3 linked regions of the Drosophila melanogaster genome follow. The protein of the gene in region 2 purifies or fractionates together with the protein of the main gene of each other region. This does not show direct contact. Each region holds a gene or a part of one and is shown on either strand. Other genes may lie near its edges.

Region 1 (7,421 bases), 1.1 Mb from region 2:
GAGGAGGCATTGAATTTCACGGACAAAGCCAACATGGTTGAGCGATTTTTTCAAGCGGGAGGCGTTCAGGTATACCAAGGCTACGTAGACGATTTTCGAAACACGGACAACGCTTGGATGGAAACCACTGCGCTGAACTTCCACGATGAAGACGGGAGCCAGGTGGGACAATTGGAGCTAATGGCCGGTGACGATGCCTCCAATGTGCGCTGGACGGACGTCGACTCGAATCTCAAGCTGCACGCCAATCATGCCGACATAGTCCGTGAGGTTGTCATCCGACGAAATGCACACTGGTAGAAACTAGACTGAAACTATAAGAGTTAAGATCAACTGCCTAATGGTTGAAGAAAAACCAATTTTAAATAATAACATAGCCTTCAATGAAACAAGTAATCCCTATATTATTTCAATGCATATTAATGTCTCACTGGATGTGGTTATAAGTTAGAAAACATTTGCCTCCGTTTTTTGGCGCGTAGAAACCTTCATCTTGCCATTTTAAAGATCGCTCATCTTGAATGATTTAACTCCACAGAAGCACAACTGAAATTTAAGACTATTTCGAAAGTATTCGTATAAAAAGCTTGCATCACTTCCAATAAATGAATCTGCGGGCGGAGGACGTTGGGTGTGCTGAGCTGTTTGGTGGTTTTCACACGGATATGTGGGCTTACAGGGCTTGCACATAATTGAACACTTCTGGATTCATGTTCGATACTTTGCTGAACAGTTCCGGGTAGTTGGCGCGAATCTCTTTGATGAGGGCCACCGCGCTCTCGGTTGTCTCGACGTCAGGCATCTGTCTCTTGTAACTCGCCTCTATGGTGATGGCCAGGATTTGCTCAAGATGTGCCTCAATGCTGGGGCGGGCCTTCAAGTATAGCACACGGAACGCCTTCTGAATCACATCGTTCTCCACGGTGTCATCCTTCAGTGGCAAATGGTTGAGCCACACGGGCAGCACCTGGCCAAGCGGCACTGAATCTGGGTTGGTAACTATGAGACGAGCAACTGCTCCGCAAATGTTGTCCATGGCGGCAGGAACGGATTCCCTGACAATTGCTTCGGAAAGGGCTTGCAAAATTGTCGGATAAGACCTATGGATGCAAAAAAAAAACAAAAAACATATACATCAAAACTAGATTCTGCAGAAAAGTTCATTTCCGGGAAACCCACTCGAATGATTTTTCCTCGGAATGGAAGACAATTTCGCCTAGTGCAAAATAGGAGTTCTGTCGCGCTTTGGCATCAGAATCCCTGGAACCGGCGATAAAAATGGGACGTAGGGCATCGAAATAAGTAGCACAGCAACCTTTTAACGCCTTGCAGCAGTCAGCAAGTGCGCCATAGATGTATGCCCGCTGTTCTGGTAAATCGCGCTCCTTTACCTTCGCCTGAAACGAAATAATTGAATTTCAGTAAGCCGTTCGGAATATCGATGGTTGTATGAATTATTGCCAAGAGAAGATCGACCTCTCTCCTTTGCCACATCATGTTCGGTATTTCGTGCAAAACCTACCAGCCTTTGAATATAGAAATGGTAAAGGCGTCCAAAATAAAGCGAGAACAGCTCCGGCTGAAGGGTTAAGCCAAACATGGGGAACAGATTGGCAGCGTTCTCGAACAGCATCTCGTCGTTCTCGCTTTCCTCCGAACACTCATCATCTCCGCCGCCGCTCTCCTCGTTAAACTGACAGGCCATTTTATTTGTGAAGATGTCCCTGATGCAACCGAATATAAGTTCGGCGTGCTCCTGGCTGTTTATCGCCGGCACGTACTTGAAGACATCGTAGAGGACGTCAAGCATGCGGAGTACGACCGCAACCTGGTCGTCGGTGCGCATTATATGTGCAAACTTTGGAATGGCAATCTCGCAGGCGCGCTTCAGGCCGGCGGCATCATCCAACTTGTGGAGAGCCGTAATGAACGAGCAAATGGAGTCAATACATGCCATACGAACGTCGCCTTGCGGATGATCAATCATCTTGTAGACGTTCTCGAATGCAGATTGCAAATAGGGCGCGAAGGCGGCGCCGGTATGGGTAGCAAACTCCTTGAGTGACAGAATGGCCTCCTCCTTTTCGACGATATAATCATTCTCCACCGGGTAAGCGTCTTGGTCATCTTCGTCGTCTGTGTGCTCTAAATCAATCTCTATGTCGGGGGCATCTACTAGGGCCAAATCATCGTCCGCATTGTCCGACACATTTGGCACCATGTCCTCCGAAAAAATCACAGACTCCATTATGCGATCAATGAACTTGGGGAACACACTGGCCATGCTCTCGTTGACAACTGATGACAGGGAGGACATCAGGTTGTATATACTCCTGCGGTACTCGGGATCATCCGGACCGTCTTCCAGCATCATCAGGCAGAAGTTCATTGTATCGTCGGCAAGAGGAATAATATTATCCTTGCCCAATTCGCGACACAGCGCGGCCAGAGTGTCGATAGCTTGGATGCGCTGACTGTACATTTCTTTTGGGCAATCCTTCACCAGACAGCCCTGTAGTACGGTCATGATCCTGGGGAAATATGGCATCAGGTTTTCCTTAGCTGCTGCTGACACCGCTGCTATGGCCGACAAAGCCATTTCACGCATTTGATTTGAGTTCTGCGGTTCCATAACCCCAAACAGACTGCACAATAAGTTTATCAGGGAGTGGACTCATATTTCCGTAGTATAGTCTAGTCTTACCGATCCATAAGTGTGGGTAAATAAGGAACAATATCCTCATCCAGATTCTCGCAAAAGGTCTCCAGGGCATAAAACATACGATCCATATGTTTCGAATCCGGCTCACCAACCTGAAAGAAAATACATTTAGTATGTTTCTGCCAAACAATTTGTTGGCTTTGTTGGTGCAAAACGGAATGCAGTCCTCAAAAAACGTGAAAAGAACCCCATTTGAAGACACCTTCTTTATGTAACCGACGAACTTATTACTCATTTAAATAACAATTAAGAAACGAGTCAATGAACATTTAACATACGCCAAAAAGTTAAATAAACCAGTGCGAAATGATATATCTACAACAGAGCTCTTAATGTAATCAATCTGGCAAACTATTCAACAAATTTTAGGTGTTTGATGTGCAATCAAGTACATAGTAAACAGTAAGACATCGAAAAAGCACCCTATATTTGGCGAGGACCGATCTTCGCTTGATCTGTATCTTGTCTAAGTACATTATGGAATCTTTGGCAGGTACGGAATCGAGATTTGGCCCATTGCTGTTATGGCCAGCCTTTAGAAGCAGCACAAACAAATAAACGAGAATGTAAAATATACAAATTCCAAGTTGGTCGAAGATGGCCACAATGATTACCTACCTTGAGTTCCAGTACCAGCTGGTTTAGATAGTCGAACAACACGGGTAGAATTTGGGGAGCAAACTTGCAGATCGTCGGCTGAAGAAACTCGGAAAACTGACCGAGGGCGAAGAATGCGGCGGTCCGCACGAACATAACAGAGTCCAACACTCCAGCTTTGATGATATTTAGCATGACCTCGAGATACTTTTTCCCAATGGCCTCGGAACAGCCCTCGGCAATAACGCCCATGCAAATAAAAGAGGAACGGCGAAGCACAGGTTCCGGGCTCTGCAACGCAGGCTCCAGCAAATCCAGTAGTGGCGGAATAAACTTGTCCGGCACCATGTGAAGGGCCATCAGGTCCAGTGTCTGCGCAGCTGCATTGGATGGACTACTCAGGCTCTCCGAGGAAAAGTAATCATCGTCTAGAATAGGAATAGGGTTAGCAAGCATGGCAACAGAAATATAAAGGAGCAGTTACCACCTTCCTCGAGGTCGTCCTGGCAAATCACTTCGAAAAGAACAGATAGTGTGGGCTGTAGTAGTTTCTGCTTCATAATAATTTTCTTCTTGAGGCGAACTAGGCTGCCTACAAAGGTAAGCACCTGAACCCGAATCGAAGCGTCGAACTGCTTGTTTCTCGCAATCATCAGACAAAACTCCAGAAGCAGCTTCACATTACCGGTCAGCAAGTGGGGCACATGCTCGGCCATGCTGTCGATGATATCAAAGGCACCCATGAACTCAATACTGTACCCCTTTTCGACAAAGGCGGCCAGGGCCTTGAGTATGAGCGGCACAGCCTTAACCACAATCTGCTCAGCATTACTATGTCCACTTACGAAAGGCAACAAGAAGCATGAACCGGTCAGCATGTTATGCACGGTGGGTGTGGCCATGTTCCCATTCGCCTCGGCGGTAACTAGAATGCCGGCAAGCAATGGGAACATAGTATCCGTGTGGTCCGAAAACTGATCGGGAGCAGCGTCCATGAGCGAGGAAAAGATTGAGCTGCCCCGCTCGCTTTCTATTGGATCGGGGCTGCTGCAACGTTCGTAAATAAACTTCAGTATTTCCTCCCTCCAGGAGTTTTGCTCGCCCTCCTCGTGGCGCACCAGCGATCCAATTATAAAGGCCACCGTGCCCTTCACGGTCTTTTCCTTCACCGCGATGAGGACCTGTAGCATGTTCGATTTGATTCTAAAAAACATGCATCCGTTACTGTATCATAGTCATTAAAAGGTAACCAGTTAACTCACGCTGCCTGGTGCTCGGCGGGAACCAACTGCCAGTGGCGTAACTTTTTGACCCGCCTCTTGAGGAGCACGGCGGCGACCTGCCGCTCTTGGACCGGCCTGTCCGACATCACGATCTGGGTGAGAACCAGCAGAGAATCGGGATTCTCGTAGGCCTTTAGCATCTTGGCTGTGGACTAAGGAAGCGAAAGAAATGGAACTTTATTAGCGACTTTTATGGCCCTATGCTATCATGCTATCAACATAAGTAATTTTTCAATTAGGAAGCGACGAAGTGTGCGTCCATTCGAGCAATGTAATGGTATATCCACGAGTTTAATGCAAATAAAAATATAATATTAATTAATTATTATTAATTATAATTATTTTTATAATTTTTATAATAATTTTTTTTAATAATTATTATAATTATTATTTATATATAAATAATTATTTCTAAAAAAGTGCAATAGTTTTCGGAAGTTTGTTCTGATCAAATAGAACATTAAACATTAAATTAAAAAAAAAAAAAATATTATACACCTATTTTTACAGCTAAGTGTGGATTCAACTTAACTGATCAGACAAACGTGAAGCAGTCAGAAAGGAAAGCATACATGAAAGACATCCATTGGCGCCCAGGATAACCTCCTTTCTTATTGCCGGATGGCCCGCTTTGCTCACCTCACGGATTCGTTCCGTGTCTATGGTCAGGATCCCGTTGATTATATCCAGAATAGCTGCCTCCATTTTTGGGGAGTTACTGTTCGCGCCCAGGCGGATAATCCAATGCAATCCGGTACAAATTGCAGACGACGTTACGCGGTATTGAGAATTGAAAAGTGGAATACCGGGGAGAAATCCCCGTCGCACGTTTTGCGCTTGTTGCAGTTTACAGTTTATCGTAAGCTTATTTTACATTCTACTCTTGAATTGGCTAGCGGTTATCATTGCGGTTTAACGAGTGGGGATGTAACGTAAATTTATCTCGCGCAGTTAATTGGTGACTTGTGTTAACATTTTTCTTTAATATATGTATTTATGTTTTTTTGTTTATTATATATGTGTATTTATGTTTTTTTGTTTATTGTGGAGTTTTGATATATGCGCTAGCAGCAGTGATGCAGTAGAATACTAAAAATATTTACATTTTTGACATTTGATCGACCGGACAAGTAAGCAAAGGCCGCTTCGACACTAGTATGCAGCCCTGGATCTTTTATCATTTATCGACGTCCATTTTTGATCGAAGCGACGCGCCTTTTTTTTGTTTTCGCGTTCGCACTGCAAACTGTAACTGTTTAAGGACAAAGCGGAATGGACAGTAGCAGTGGAAGCCAAGGAAATGGCAGTTTCATGGACCAGAACTCGCTGGGCATCCTGAACATGGACAATCTAAAGGGTAAGCAGGTGGAGCACGCCGGAAATAAGCCGAAGCAGCAAGTAATCCTCATTCCCTACAGTCTTCGGCGACTTGTCCAGCTTCAGCAAAAGTGGAAGGAGGAGCGGCACTGGTCGGGACTCTCCCGCCGTCCACGAGCGGCTCCGAGAAGAACGACTGCGTGCGCTGGAGACACTGGAAAAGCCCCGACCGTCGCGTTCCAGCCAAGCAAAGAGCACTGCCCTCCAGATGCGCTTGTCCACAAACATCTCGGAGCTGGTAACAGACGACACCATCGATCTGAACAGCAGCAGCTCCTTTGCTTTGGTCACGCCCGCCACCAAGGGCACAAACATCTCTTTTGAGCCTGCGGAGATCACCGGCAGGTCCACACTCTGCCAGGCGGGAAAACAGCGCCGCAGGGAGAAGCCATCCCTGTCGGTGGCCGAAATTCTAAAGTCATCCTTCGTTGAGAAGGCTCGCCTGTTGGAAAGGAAGCTGCAGGATGCCAGTCAGGCGGAGGCCAGCTATCACTTATCACGTGGCAGCTCCAGCAGCCTCTCAGATTCATTCAACTGCTCGCGCAGCTTACCGCGCACTGCGGACATGAGTGAACTGAGTCTTAACGGAGGTGGGGGATTTTCCTTTGGATCTGCCTCGTTGGCGGCGGAAGGCCAGGATGAGAGCTTTGCTCCCGCCGAGCTAATGCAGTCCAAATTGGTGCTCGGTGAAATCTCCTGGGCGCAGGAGTTCACGGCCATGCCGACGGCCACGTTGAGCACACAGGCGTTGAAGAAGATTGCCGCACCAACATCCGAGATAGAAACCTCGGTGTCCAAGTAAGCAACATAAAATAGTCTTCCAAATATAATTTGATCAACTTTCAACTTTTATTTACAGTTCTGTCTTGGCCGGAGATCCAGACTTTTCGCTGGGCAACTACTTCCAGACGCGTTCGGAAAATATATGGAACATTGTGAGCAATAGCAGCCCGAATCGTTCGCGAACCAACCAACCGCTATTGGAACCAGAAAGTAACGTGACACTGGATTCGGTTGGCGAGAAGACCCCACAGCCAGACAATAAAACATACACTAAAACGGATGCCATAACTGGCTCGAATCTCGGACGCAATCTTATGCGTAAGATGCAACAGGATCGGATTGAAACTGCGCTAAAGAGCAGGAATGGTCTGGCAGCCAAAGAGACCAAGCGTCCGCCGTCGAGCTCCGAGATCCTAAGTCTCTCCGCGATCGACAAGGCGCTAAGGGACATAGATCTCAATTCGGATACATCCACTGTAGAGGTTGTCAACCACCTGTGGGAGCATGGTCGTGGAAACAATTATGACGATGGGGAAAACAAGGAGAACCAGAGCAGCAACTCCCATGCGGAGCGCACTTCGTGCGGCTCCAACAAGCTTACCGACACCATGAGTTTCACGGACTCTGTGCTAAACTCAACGGATTTTCGTCATTTGCAG
Region 2 (6,774 bases):
TTAAAATATATTTCATTAGCTATCATAGCATTTTTTAATTTACATTTAAGCTCGAATTAAACCGCAGGACATTTGAAATCACTAGTCACAGGATTAGGCACCAATCACTAGACCAATTACTTACCAGATCCTTGAGCTCAGGATGAGTGACACTGGAAGTAATAGTCAGAGACATGATTTCACTAGTTAAAATTGTTATTTATTTAATGTGTCGCTTTTAACATTTAAAGCTGAACTGATGCATCTGCAGAAAGGTCGGTCCAATTTATACTGCCGCCTCTCCCGCTTTCTACGCGAATGTGGAGAGTGCCGCGCTATCGTTATCAATTCTCCCGCTCTTCAGTCTTCTGGCGGCCGGCCCCGTCTCTTTCTCCCTCTCCCGATTCTACGCTGATTAAAACTGCGCAGCGCTACAGGTTTCTTGGGGCCACAATTGATCGTACAGCTGGGACATTTGATCAGGGTTATAATTTAATTGCCTTTAATATTCTAATTTGAACAAGTCAAGTGCAGTCTTTTGTGTTCTCCGGATTGTGGACTAACTGTTATTTGCCGGGCTCGTATTTTAGCCGGCTCAAACGCAAAATGAAGTCCAACAGGAACATTTGTATTTTTATCTCCTTGGGATTCTCGGTGACATAGAAGCCGGGAACGCCGGCCTTTTGAAGTGTGGATTGTTGGTCATTAACCTGCGTAATGATATTAGATATTAGTTCAACATCAAGAAAAAACAAAGAAAGTTAAAGTAGTAAAATCTAATTTCGTATTCCCATATAAGCATTTAAAGTTATGATTAGAAATAATTTGTATTACAAAAGAAAATATCTTTAGTGATAATTTCATTTCAATTATAAGAATCTGCAGATAAATATATACCTAAAATATACCTAATCTATAGATCCATCCATAATCAAACTATGTATCATATTTGAATTTAATTTTAAATAGGATTAGGATTATCTAAGTTTGAGATTCGACTATTGTTTTTAAAGAAATTTGGATGGTAAGACCAACTAAAAGTGCGTGGAATGGAACGACTCAAAAGGATATTGAATTCTTCACCTTTTGATCTAGTATTTCGATAATCTTCGTATCCGACTCGTGTAGTTTCTTAGTGTGCTTTATTTTCATGAGTCCCAAAATGTGGCGCAACTCCTCGGGATCCTTGATCTTGCTCCTCCACTCGGCCACTTCTATTTCATACTCGTTCTCCGCCTGCATCCGTATTTTAATTAAGTGTCTTTCGGTTTCGTGTTGCAGCTCCATTAATGCTTTTACTATTACAAAAATGCCATCGTTTAGCACACAATTGGCGAGTTCGGTGAGTAGATCGTAGGAAATGCGTGTCTGCAAGTTTCTGTTAATCAAAAATGGCGTTAAATATTTAAATAAACTAAATATCAAGGACTTACTCGGGAAGTTCCGAATGGTAAGTTCGCAATTGGTCCACCAAAAAATAGATTTTGCGTTGTAAAAACTCCGGAGTTGGCTGCTGATACTCCACTACTGCCTCACTAGTGTTCGCACTACCTTCGCTGGTTGCCGGTATGTCCGCCATCTTAACTAAATTGTGATTTCCTATTTATTTACAATAATTTGTGTAATATTCCCAAGTATTTGTGTTTTTAGTGATGTTTTGTGCAACCGCACTCCAATTTCGCCTCTTCGCCGCACGAACAGCTGAGCGCCAGGGCTGCAAACTGCAGCAGCAGCAGTGTGACCACAATCAGTTTGGCTGCCCACATAACGGTAAGTCAGAGAAAGACGCGGAAAGTAAAATGTTTCAAAAGTATTTATATATATTTTTGTTGTATCAGAGCGTGAAAAGAATTGTGACTGTACGATTTGAAATCAATGATGCTTATGACTAAGGTGATTACATCGGTTCGTATTATGATTAGAAGTTCAAAGATTTGCGAGCCTTGATGAAATTCTTATCAGCCTCGTAAGTGTACATGCGATTCAGTTTGTTTTTGCGGCGCTTTTTGAGTTCGGTTTGGAACTTTCCGTGTCCTGAGCTGCTGGGGGTGGCTGGTACCAGGGAATACTTCTTGCTGTCCAGGGAGTAGCACTCGCGTTTTCCGAACTCATGCTGCTCCTTTGGGGTTTCCACGATTTTCAGGCTGTTCAGGCGCTGCAGCACTTGGTTGGTTTCATTTGTCGACGACATAATAACTGCTAGGCTGGCTGATCAGGAAGTTAATGTGAAGCTTGACGTTGCTGATTTGCTACTGATTTCCTTTTGCCCACGGCCTTCTTTATATCCACTTGAGTGTGCAATTTCAGGACTGCCATAAATATCTGCGCGGAAAATACAGCTTATCCGTTTTCCACATCTGTCACTTTTATGGTGCTACCTGCTCATAATTAAAATTTCCGCAGAAAATTCTCGCTAATCCCTTTTTAATGCGTTCAGAATTACGCGAGCAGGTAGTAATGGGTTTTAGTCTACCGCCATAAAGTCCGCCTTTTACAAATCGCAATAAATTAGAAAGGAATTCGTAACAATTTCCAAATTTGGTGTTTAAAGTGCATAACTTTTTAATGGAGTATATTAATTTCTTACTTTATAGATAATAATTCCTTAAAGATAATATAAAAATATAATTTATTGGATCTCCAAATGCTTTCAATTATATTGGATCTCTAAATGCTTTCAATAATCCAATCTTTTAAATGTAGCCTCTAATCAATTAATACGCTTTTAAAAAAACGCGCGCAGGTGAAAGAACCCACTGCCGTTTTAAAGTGTGTACATACTGGCGAAATCATATGGTGGGCATACACGTGTATCGGTTGTACAGTTTATGCGTTAATCGACTTCGCGAACTACGAAACCTAAAGCTGATTGCTATTATAAAATAAAGACTTTACTAAACAATTGATAGTGCCCATTATAGTTGAAAGCCTAAAGAAATAAACGCTTATCAAATAAAATCACTGCCGTGGGTTACTGCCATGAAGAAATTATGATCTGCTGAAAGTCGAGTTGTCTGCCGCATGAACGCCCTAACATACGGCTCTTTGCGGGTGTCTCTCTTAACATTTCGTTATGCGATTTGAATGGGGCAGTTGCATTGGAGCCTCGTCCGCCGAACACAGAACATTACAAACGCGTTTCCAGGAGTAATTGTCGGTGATTTTAATCGAAAACAATTGATACGAGCGCGGTGCGGCAGCCATCAAAATCAAAGAGTGCTAAATCGGAATCACTGCCCTAAGTGAAGTGTATTGTGTAACCTTTTGAGACGATGACAATAGGCCAAAAGGAGGCGGCGTGGGGCAGGCTGGGCTGCCAATGATCATATGATTGCCTAGAGCGGAAAAATACTCAAAATCATAGCAGTCGGCTAGGCATTTCGTTGCCAGAAACGAAAACAACAATACGTAAATCGAAAGGACAAGGTATATTTTCAGCCGGTACTCCCCATCTCCCCACCACCATGTACACAATCAACAAGGGACCTAGCAAAATTGTTGCTAAAACGCGTCGCGGTGAGTCCAAAATATTGATAGTAATAATGGTTAATAATGCCACAATAGACCCTTTCAAGAGAACAGCTGTTATGTCACAAAAACATACTCTTTTCCTTTCTCTCTCTCTCTCTCTCTATATATCTGCCTCTGCCTCTCTTGCTCTCTGGCTCTGTTAACTTTTTGTTTTGCCGGCGTTTTCCACAGTAAATGCGTATTTTATAGCTTTCCATGGCATGTTTTCCATCCGCAGGCCTGGCACCAAATTTTGAAAAATTCGAAAGCATCAAGGAGAGCGGCCGCAAGAACGCTAGTTTCGATCTGAACAGTCCCGAGGAGCACAAAAAGTAAGAATGCCATGCTCATATGTAACCATACCCAAATCTTGGGTGCTTATGCAAACGGATGGCACATGGTGAAATGTGGAAAGCGGGAAAAGTGACGGGGGAAAACGCGGACTGGGGTTCAAGACCCTCGTCTTATCGCACTGACATTTTATCGCAAGAATCCGTGGCGACCTAGCACAGTAATGCTAATTGCTCCCGAGCAAGTAGTCTTATTCTCGCTAGGGGAGACCCATTGGAAACACGTGGGTCAGGCGTCGGTTATCGGCTCCATTTTAATTTAAATGCCCATTGAGGCCATTGAGGCATTGACTTTTCCACGTCCGTTACGTCACGGCTCCAACGTAACTTCGCGGCAATGCTCGGCACAGGTTGTGCCAAAACAAGGCTGATTAATTTACTTATTTTACCTGGAAGGGTGTGGAGTTATTCCGAATGTCTAACTGCAATCGAAACATGTAACTTCAGAGTAGAGTACTTATAGGTAATTGAAGAGTGTATCTCATTTCTTGTTTATTTTTATGCCTTTTATATCAACTGTATTACGCTTGCTGTTAAAAGTATCTTATGGATGCGAGTTTTCTAGAATTTCCCATAGCCATTTCAGCTGAAATCTGAAAAGTTCTCTATATAAATATTAACTTTATAAACTCCCAATTGTATTTAATTTCTTGCGATTGCTTTTATTTTTAGAACTTCAAGATAAAAATTACCTAACCCTTTGCCGAAATACTATTATCTAAATTAATAAACCACAAATCCTTGTCAGTCAATGGGATGGCACTGTTTACTATCTGCCACTGTAGATAGCTTATCAGTACTCATTGCTCTTATGAGTATATATTGAGTTTGTAATTTTTTCATCGATATGTAATTTTAACATTTAAAAGCCAAAATAATGTAATCGACGAACTGCAGCGCCTTTCTCGAATTAAAATGCATTTAGCGTTCCTCGAACTGAGTAGCAAGCTGTCGAACCCAAGTTACCCCACCTCGTTCTCCAAGTGATTTATTTTCGTAGTCCACATGTTTGGTGGAATCTGTGTGGTTTGCATAAGTGCCTTTTCATTGAAATTCAAGAACATTGTTATTAAAATTGTATGCATATTTCCTGATTTTTAAAAAAACAGCATACCGCGTCCGGTGTTTCAACAGAGCTTCGCCACCAAGCGGATAACGCCAACCAAACTGATCGAGGATGAGGTGATAACGCCGCAACATGAGGAAATAATACGTTACATAAATGACTGTAAGTCGGAAATATGATTGTAAAGATGTACTTATAAGTATTTAATAAATGTGGTTTACTTTTGTTACTTTTTGGCAGCCTGGAACATGCTGGTGGCGCAGAATCCCTACGACTCGAGCTCATCCGCCAAGCCTGTTGAGAAACCTGTAGCGGATGCCAACAACAACAGCGCCGCCAGTCCAGTGGAAAGCATAATGGCCAACAGCCCAGTGCCCGCTGCCTCGACAGCCACTGTCTGGGTGGAGCCACCGAGTCCAGCGCTACAGGACTTCAAGCCCTTCGACCTGGAGTCGTGGTGGGGACGTCGCCTCTTCCAGAACATAACCAAAAGCCTGTAGGACCGATCGCATGGGATCGAATGAGTGGCAGAGCCTGATCTTTGTCAATTCCTAGATAGTCAGTGCTTCCTTCTGTGCATGTACGTTCGACTGGACATGGGCAAAATCACACTAGATGATAGTGGGCGAAACGAGATGTGACGAGAGACTTGCTTAGTTTTCGGCTAGCGACTAAGTAAATATCACTTTGGATGTTAGTGGTTGGGAGGCCACCGTGGTGGCAAATCTTGGCATAGGTTCATCTCGCATATAAGTGTGTATATGAAGTAAATTGAGAGTCGTCGCCGTTGGCCAATGTAAATAATACGATTTCTGATTTACAATTAAGAATGTGTTATAGAGTTATAAGAAACGTGTCATCTGGATGGCTTGCCATTTTTTTTTTAATGTCAACAACACTCATGTGAATTGTATAAAGTATAAGGTTCAAACTAACATCAATTTAATTGCAACCGATTTTGGTTTTACTTAATTCTGTAAATGCCGATTCCAGTTTAAATATTTGCCTGTACATACTAAAATAATTGGATTTTATTACGTCAACTCTAGTTAAGATTTAGAAATATCCAAAAAAGGAATTGGTTGAGCCGATTTCTCACCACTGGCGTTGCCTGTATTTAGTTTCTCACTATAAAACGATTTATGTTTAGCATAAATAAAATTAAAATCAACAAAATTATATTCGCTTTTAACAGAAATATTTTAAAAGTTTAATTAATGGGGGGAAAGGGAATGCGAGAATTTACTTTGTGTGATGCGTAACAATGAATGGAGATTACCCTCTTTACTTACATTAGATTTTTGTTTAAATTTTCCATCCCAAATGATATAACAAGAAATAAATTAGTTTATTTAAAGATTATTCACTATATTACAGAAATTTCAAATTTAAACTTGGTCTATTTCCATACAGTCAAAATACTAAATACTAAAGTAAAATAAAGTATATTATAACGGTGACGATATTTCCGACAGCTTTCGGTATATAATAACGCAAGCTGGTCACTCTTCCAAAACCTGCCAAAATAATTTTTTGTCAGGATTAAGTTTATTGTTATTTATTAAATAAAAAAACATGTGTGACGGCGATGTGGCAATTGCGGAGCTGGAATCCCGTCTGGATGAGGTCAGTCTGGAGGACATAGGTGCCAGACATCGTCGCGAGCGCAAGGATTTGCAGGCCAAGCTGCAGGCCATGAAGAAGAATGCGCCGAAAAATAATAAAAACAAGCGGAAGGAGTTCCTGGAGGAGATGGCTCGCCTGGAGGGAGAGCTGGAGCAGCGCCACAAGGCGGAACTGAAGGCAGCGGAAGCCATGGAGGCACCGGTGTTGGTGGAACCGGTCGTCAAAGAGCCAGCGGAAAAGCCA
Region 3 (7,421 bases), on a different chromosome or scaffold from region 2:
GACTCTCGAGGATCGCGGCATCGAGGCAAGCGATTCGAAAGTCACATCCGTGGTCGGATGGGTCAGGTGGAGCTGACGGATCAGGTGGATGCGCTGCGGAGCTTGTCTGACCAGTTGGGCTACATTGACATGGATCGCGTGGCCATTCACGGGTGGTCATACGGTAAGTTATCTCGAGATAGGTGATTGACATTGTTATAGTGGGGTATTTCCCACAACTCTGCATACTATTTAATCTAATCAACAAGCAAGTCATTCTGAACTTGCAAGTACACAGACAGAATGAAGATGCCTTATCGGTTTATGAACGTTAAATTAATGCACTATAATGGTTACTTTCAATTGAGGGAACTGGGTAAAGGTAAAGGCATTGCAATAATTTCCATATGGTTGTCATTTCAACAGGGGGCTATCTTAGCCTGATGGGCCTGGTTCAGTATCCGAAAATCTTTAAAGTGGCCATTGCCGGAGCGCCGGTCACCAACTGGGAGTATTACGATACGGGCTACACGGAACGATACATGGATATGCCGCAAAATAACGAGGCCGGTTACTCAGCCGGTTCGGTGCTCGAATACGTAAACTCTTTTCCCGAAGAGTGAGTTCTTAAGCTGGTTCTTAAATTGTCAAATTTTCGAAACATTCATGTTTTCTTTTGTTCAGGGACAAACGCCTGCTGCTCATACACGGCCTGATCGACGAGAACGTGCACTTCTGCCACACCTCGCGTCTGATCAGTGCTTTGAACAAGGCAAACAAGCCGTACGAGGTGCATCTGTTCCCCGAGGAGCGGCATTCGTTGCGTAATCTGGAATCGAATAAAAACTACGAAACTAAATTACTGTCATTCTTGCAAAACTTATGAGATTCGTAAATGTCAACAGCCGAAACAAGATCGCCTGCTTAGGCAGTAAAACTAGACCCGCCCCACGCCCTCGTCCCTTTGCAATAGTTTTTTACATCATTGTCTTTGTTTTTATTTGAATTTTTGTTGTTCGAACTATTGTTTTTATTCGATAAAGAAAATGAGAGAAAACGAAATTTGTATCATATTTTTAGCATACTTAATTTATAAACGTACGCAGTTGTAAGTATAATGGAAAGTTGAATGAATGAAAGTTTACCTGCCACCCAATATTAGACTTCAGATCAAGACCAAGCAGCTTATTGTAATTAATTTATACTTAATGTTCTACAACACACGTCATATACTCTTAACTATGTTTTAATTGTGTTTGATATCCGCAAATGTACATTTTTCCTATCAGTAATTATAAGTTGTGTTTTAGTGCGTATGTACGAGTATGAGTGACTGTATGCGTGTTTTCCACAGAAACGGAAAAAAAAAACCTTAAACTTGTCATGCCTTTGGGGCAGGCCATCAATTAATGTTAGTTCTACGCATGCATATATATATATATATATATATATATTATATATCTCTTCGATAAACCTGACGCAAGTCGTATGCATACTTGATTGAGTTCTTAGAAACCCGCGTTTGGCTGAAGCAACAAAAACTGAATTAAATTTAATATTAATTATGCCTATATATAATCATTAGTTTTACAACTGATACAAGCAAACGTATATATACATATATTTTGTTTAACATTTAAATAAACAGTTGTGTGTAAAAGCAGGTGTTTTACTTTTCTCTCTTGTTTGGATTGATGGGGATTTTTGGGCACTGTTCAATTAATTAAATAAATATATTTAAACAAATTCCTTTCTGTCAGCTGCTCGAGGCTACTTTGATGAGTTTCTTAGTTCCATAAATTTGCAATTGCATATTTAAGCAAACTGCCCAAATAGTTCAATTCACATGTTTTGAACTTCAGACATTTAAATTAGCCGCGCTCTGGAAGACTACCCCCAATGCCTACCTTCACCACAGAGGTGTATTCCAGTCGATTTCCGTTAGGCGACCGAACGCCGCGGTACGGTCACACTGCAGGCCGCATCTGCATCTGGCATCTGGCGGTGTTTTTTTGATTTTTTACTCAGTGCTCTCTATCCCTCCGGCCAAGCGCCATAACTCCACAAAACTCGATCCGGAATTATATTGTGAGTTTGTGTGAATGTCTAGGCTTGATCGAGTCGACAATATCGGCAGTAGCGAACGACTCAAGTTCTAGCCAACACAAAGACCACATTCTGCAAGGAATCCGCTAGCGAGGATCTTGCTGAAACCAAGTGGAAGTGGAGGAGACGAGGACTCCAGGCGCCGCGCACAAGAACACAAACAACAAACGACGAGTGCGCTCACACGCAAACACGCATTCAAAATGGCGCCCACAAAAGCAACAACGCGCGCGGCCATCACAAGCGGGCATCATCAGCTGCAGCAGGCAGTGAATCCCATCCTGGGAGCCCTGGGAGCTGCCACTAGGAAGGGACTGACTCGGAGGGCGGCTGCCACGGGAAACATCGATCCGAATGTGGAGAATATGCAGACGCGCGCCAAACGCAAGGCCGACCACAGTCCAATTAAAAATGACAAAATCAAGCGCTCGGCGCTGGGTAACCTGACCAACAATGTTAAGATCATGACACTGCATCCGGCACAGGATGAGGAGCAGTCGGGCGTGGGCAAAAAGCCAACGGCCCAGCAGCTGCAGGCCCTGATGGATGCTAAGAAACAGGAGAATCTCAGCGTAAATGTCTTTGGCGCCAGTAAGATGACTACGCGCGCCTCCAGTAAAGTGGAGGATTCGGTGGAGAACTGCCACAAAGTGCTCGATAAGCTGGAAGAGGCGTTGGCCAGGCCCAAACCGCGCCCCAAGGCAGTGCCTGCCGCAAAAAAGACCGTTTTGGGGGAGGTTCAGCTACCGGCCATGCCAAATCCTATGCAGATTCCCGTTTTACTGCCGCCCACGCACAATCTGGCTGCTCCCCAGGTTGCCGCCGTCAAGCCAGTTCGTCGGATCTCCAATGACTTCAACAAGACTGAGGACAGCCTGTACATGTCCGCGCTGGAGGATGTCTCCAGTTGCGACTCCATGCGGCTGTCTGGAAACTTTGAGGCGGCGCGACGTCGCTCCGCCAAGTTGCAGCAAAAGACTGAGCAGCAGCCACAGCCGCTGTTGCTGACACTCCCAGAGACTGCTCCAAGCCAGGTGGTGCCCATTCCGCCAGTGCCCGAGGAAGTAGAGGACTTCGACCGCAAGAACTGGGACGATCCCTTCCAGGTGTCCCACTACGCCATGGATATATTCAACTACCTCAAAGTGCGCGAAGCGGAATTCCCCATTGCCGACTATATGCCCAGGCAGATCCATCTGACCACCTGGATGCGCACCCTGTTGGTCGACTGGATGGTGGAGGTGCAGGAAACGTTCGAGCTGAACCACGAGACTCTGTACCTAGCGGTTAAGATCGTCGATCTGTATCTCTGCCGCGAGGTGATCAACAAAGAGAAGCTGCAACTTCTGGGCGCCGCTGCCTTCTTTATTGCCTGCAAGTACGATGAGCGACAGCCGCCGCTTATAGAGGATTTTTTGTATATCTGCGATGGTGCTTATAATCACGACGAGCTGGTGCGAATGGAGCGGGAGACGCTGCGCGTTATCAAGTACGATCTGGGCATCCCGCTCTCGTACCGTTTCCTGCGCCGCTATGCCCGATGCGCCAAGGTGCCTATGCCCACGCTGACCCTGGCTCGATACATCCTGGAATTGTCGCTCATGGATTACGCCAATATTTCGTTCAGTGACTCGCAGATGGCTTCGGCCGCACTGTTCATGGCACTGCGTATGCACGGCGGTCCGGGGCAGCTGGACAAGCAGACGTGGACATCGACGCTTATCTACTACACCGGCTATCAATTGGCGGACTTTGCTGAAATTGTGACCGCGCTCAATGCAGGACTGCATCGCAAGCCACGGGCCACCATCAAGACGATACGGAACAAGTACTCGCACAAAATATTCCACGAGGTGGCCAAGGTGCCGCTGCTGACGAACCAGGAGCTCTTCCAGGGCAACCTTGACCTGAACGAAAGCAATCTGTCGTAGGACAGCCTCAAAGTTTAGCCAAATTCAACATGATACGATACGCTTCACTTAGGCTCTAAGACGCTTCTATTCCCAATATTAGCCCCATCCCGACGAAACAGCGGATCCCCGCCTTAATCTAAAAACCCCTGATTTTACCCCTTACCTAGTGTTCCCGTCAAGTCCTCGCAATTTATTATATTTTAATTATTATTGTGACCTTCGCATTATTGACATGTTTTTTGCATAAATATTATGTTAAGAGTGCTTTTGTTTCTTTTTGCCATGTATTATTGTTTAATTTTCCCACATACCGCATACGTAGCCGAACACAATCAATCTAAACTCGAAAGGCGACATTATCTTTAGCACCCCCACCCAAAAAATCCCAAAACGATTCATGTTTTAATATGTACGTTAGTCTTAAGAGATGCCAGCATTAAATAAACCTAACTCGTAAGCCACCAAAGCAGACACGGATCCCCACTAACTTATTCTACACAGATACACAAACGCAAGGATACGAAGCGACTATGAAAGGCACGTGTGTCCCGTACAACCTGGAAATGCGCTGCGATCAACCCTCGTCCCGTGCACGCCATGTACGCCATGTGCATCTGTTCCTGTCGTCGTTATTAATGCTGTTATTTGTTAAGTCGTTCATGGACTCCCCTCCTTGCGCTCACATTCCCGCCCCTCGAAGGACGCTCACCATCAACTTCCCAGTTCCTGATCATACCGCCCCGCCCCGCCCTGCCTCAGTTCACCTCGTTTATCCATGGATGGTTGATAACGTTGCATTGTTGAAGTAACTAGTTATGTATGTACTCAGTGTTATGTATGTATCGTTTTGCGAGAGAATACCAATAAACATTTTTACGTCCGTTCAAAAATACTTCAATCTTTTTACCATCATTACATTCGGAAAACGGTGGGCGAAGTGAAAAAATTCTTACTTTTAATAGGGTAAGTGCAATAAATTCGTATTTTTATTTTTCTTTCTAGAAAACTCTTTTAAAAACCTGATGGAAGTTTCAAAATCGGGTGAGTATTAACTCAGATATAACTAGTTGAATGCAATTGTAGTATCATTAGTGTTTATGTTTACTTTAAATAAGTATTTTAAATTAGCTGTCTTTATCCAGCATGTTGGAAATGATCCTAGTTCCTAGGGGATTAAATAATTTAGGGCATTATTTTCAATTTCCTAGAATCTGGAATGTATGTATTTGTTGCAGTTCAATCTTTAATTGTTAGAAACAGAGCATAAACTCCTAGATGTCAAAGGTTAAGGGAAAACGTTTAGCACATCTAGACTTCTTTGCCGTGAGTATACCCATTACCCCACCCATTCTAATTCCTTTGTTTCGAATCCTCTCAGCTGAATCTGTGCTCCTTTCTCCGCGCTCATCATAGAACAGCTGATGGCTGATGACCTAAGGACATCAAACCCTGGCTGGAATCGGTTCGATTTGCTACAGGTAAAAACCACCGATACCGTCCGTCCAAATCATTCATAATCCATGAGTGTAAGTGTCTGTCTGTATACTCGTAGTCTGTATACCCCGGGCATGATTCTCTCGAGTTTCCTGCGGTTCCTTGCTTTTGGCGCGCTCGTCCGTCATTTTAGCGCCAAAAATTTGTTAAGGATTTGCGCGGCAGGCTGCGCATGCGCCGCAAGACATCAAGACGTCGTCCCTTGGTTGGGTTCCTTTCCTTTCCTTCGGCCCTCTCTTTTCCGCTGCACAGCGAAACCCAGCCGATTTATGTCGCTGCAGTTGGGTCCAGCGAAGGGCACCAGGAGTACCAATACCAGTAACAGCGTCTCTCTCTGACGCTGATTTTCTACCACCACCTTTGGCTCGCCCAGAGTCCTGCCTTTGTGCGTTCCCTTTTTTTCGGCTGCCTGCCAGCCAGGTAGCTCCTGTCGTCTTCGATTGTGTCCACGCCGGATAAAAGAAGCGGCATTGCCATAAGAATAAGGAAAAGAATAAGGATGGGATGTGAATGTCTTGGGTTAGCTGTCTGTATGGGAGCAGAATGCCGAGTGCATGTGCTTTATTTTTTCCGGTTCAAGGTGCAACTGGTAACTGGCCAGCATTGCTAATTATCTTGGTTGGGTGTGCAGAAATCAAGTTTATTTCGCAGGGACACACAGGATGATAGGCAAAGACAGCTGCCTCTGGCCAAGGAGGCAGCAGCGAAGTTATGACTACGACTCGGATTACTTCACGCCCCACCAACACCATTACCACTACCACCACCACCGAGGTCCACCCATGATGTCGGCCAGCTTCAGTAGGCCGGCGAGTTGAAGGCACCGTTGTATCCGCCCCCATATCCACTGCCATAGCCAAAGGCATTGTGATTGTTCAGCACTCCAAATGGTCCCTTGTGGACGCCATCCTCCTTGTACTCGGTGTTCATCGAGAAATGATGGTCCCAATGGCTCGGATCAGCGGGATTGTGAGCCGGATAGCGATGATAGTTCATGCCGCTGGTGGCAGGAGCCTGACCAGCTGCTCCGGGCACTCCTGCCACTCCAGGTGCTCCCGGAACTCCAGCTACTCCAGGAACTCCTGGTTGAGCCACAGCTCCGGGTAGCACTCCATAGGCGGGGAACTGGGCTGGTTGAGGGTACGCTGGGTACTGTGGCAAGTATACTCCGGGGTAGGGATAGCCAGGATAGGCACCAGTTCCCGGGAAGTAACCAGGTGCTCCTGCACCCACTGGCTGCTGGGGAGGAACTCCCACCGGATACTGAGCAGGAACTGCTCCAGCAACAGGATAGCCAGGAGGAGAAACAGCACCTAAAAAGGGGACATTTCATTAATATCATAATTTCATATATATTTCAAAATGTGGATTTGCTATTCACCAATCTTTTAAATTTTGTATAACTTTTTTGGGAGTTAAGACTTGATATTAGTTTTCTGATTTCACTAAGATAAATGAACCACCTATTAGAAGGACCTACCTGCACTTTGGTAACCACCGGATGATGAGGATCCTCCTGAAGAGCCTCCTGCAGCTGGGTACGGAACTGGAGCCTGTTGTCCAGGAAAACCCGGAGGCGGATAAGCGGGAATCTGGTGACCTCCTGTAATTGTGAGTGCCGGATTTGGTGACTGGTTGCCAGGAAAAACAACGGAGTTCGTACTGGCCACTCGTACGCCAGAGCCACCCTGCTCATGGCCATGGGCATCGTCGATGGATCCAGTTGCGCCCGCATAACCCGATCCCAGCTGACCAAGGCCAGGATAAAGTTGCGAATTGAGATTGGCCCGCTGGCGATGGCGACTGCTGGTAATGCCTCCCGTCAGAGTGGAGGCCAGGTTAAACTCCGTCTTCTGATCCTCCTGACTTTCGTCCCTGCTGAATTGCGAGGCCTGACCGCTGGCTATCTGGATGAGGGCCAGAGCGGCG

What was found.
Region 1: the proteins of Z600 (region 2) and Apl purify together in Drosophila melanogaster (affinity purification with mass spectrometry, with the first as the bait; one study listed by BioGRID). This does not show direct contact.
Region 3: the proteins of Z600 (region 2) and CycB3 purify together in Drosophila melanogaster (affinity purification with western blotting, with the first as the bait; one study listed by BioGRID). This does not show direct contact.

Annotation. Positions count from the first base shown.
Region 1 is NT_037436.4:16,593,420-16,600,840, reverse strand, and holds Apl (apollo), read right to left. Parts: upstream 5,422-7,421; 5' UTR 5,308-5,421; coding exon 5,242-5,307; intron 4,755-5,241; coding exon 4,582-4,754; intron 4,523-4,581; coding exon 3,804-4,522; intron 3,748-3,803; coding exon 3,341-3,747; intron 2,815-3,340; coding exon 2,705-2,814; intron 2,646-2,704; coding exon 1,523-2,645; intron 1,398-1,522; coding exon 1,180-1,397; intron 1,101-1,179; coding exon 674-1,100; 3' UTR 382-673; downstream 1-381. Other genes in the region: spd-2 (spindle defective 2), read left to right, coding at 5,875-5,959, 6,021-6,777, 6,839-7,421.
Region 2 is NT_037436.4:15,504,520-15,511,293, reverse strand, and holds Z600 (Z600), read right to left. Parts: upstream 2,234-6,774; 5' UTR 2,171-2,233; coding exon 1,898-2,170; 3' UTR 1,781-1,897; downstream 1-1,780. Other genes in the region: MsrA (methionine sulfoxide reductase A), read right to left, coding at 125-175; gdl (gonadal), read right to left, coding at 546-689, 1,063-1,357, 1,413-1,558; gdl-ORF39, read right to left, coding at 1,626-1,745; CG7841 (uncharacterized protein), read left to right, coding at 3,444-3,495, 3,728-3,821, 4,949-5,067, 5,146-5,405; CG7857 (uncharacterized protein), read left to right, coding at 6,481-6,774. UniProt on the Drosophila melanogaster protein: Cell cycle regulator that is involved in modulating and adjusting cell proliferation according to the requirements of the developmental program. Interacts with mitotic Cdk1-cyclin complexes to inhibit mitotic entry at the G2/M transition.
Region 3 is NT_033777.3:24,865,396-24,872,816, reverse strand, and holds CycB3 (cyclin B3), read left to right. Parts: upstream 1-2,000; 5' UTR 2,001-2,288; coding exon 2,289-4,016; 3' UTR 4,017-4,883; downstream 4,884-7,421. Other genes in the region: CG3744 (uncharacterized protein), read left to right, coding at 1-163, 406-598, 664-865; Elal (Elastin-like), read right to left, coding at 6,291-6,805, 6,973-7,421. UniProt on the Drosophila melanogaster protein: Cyclins are positive regulatory subunits of the cyclin-dependent kinases (CDKs), and thereby play an essential role in the control of the cell cycle, notably via their destruction during cell division.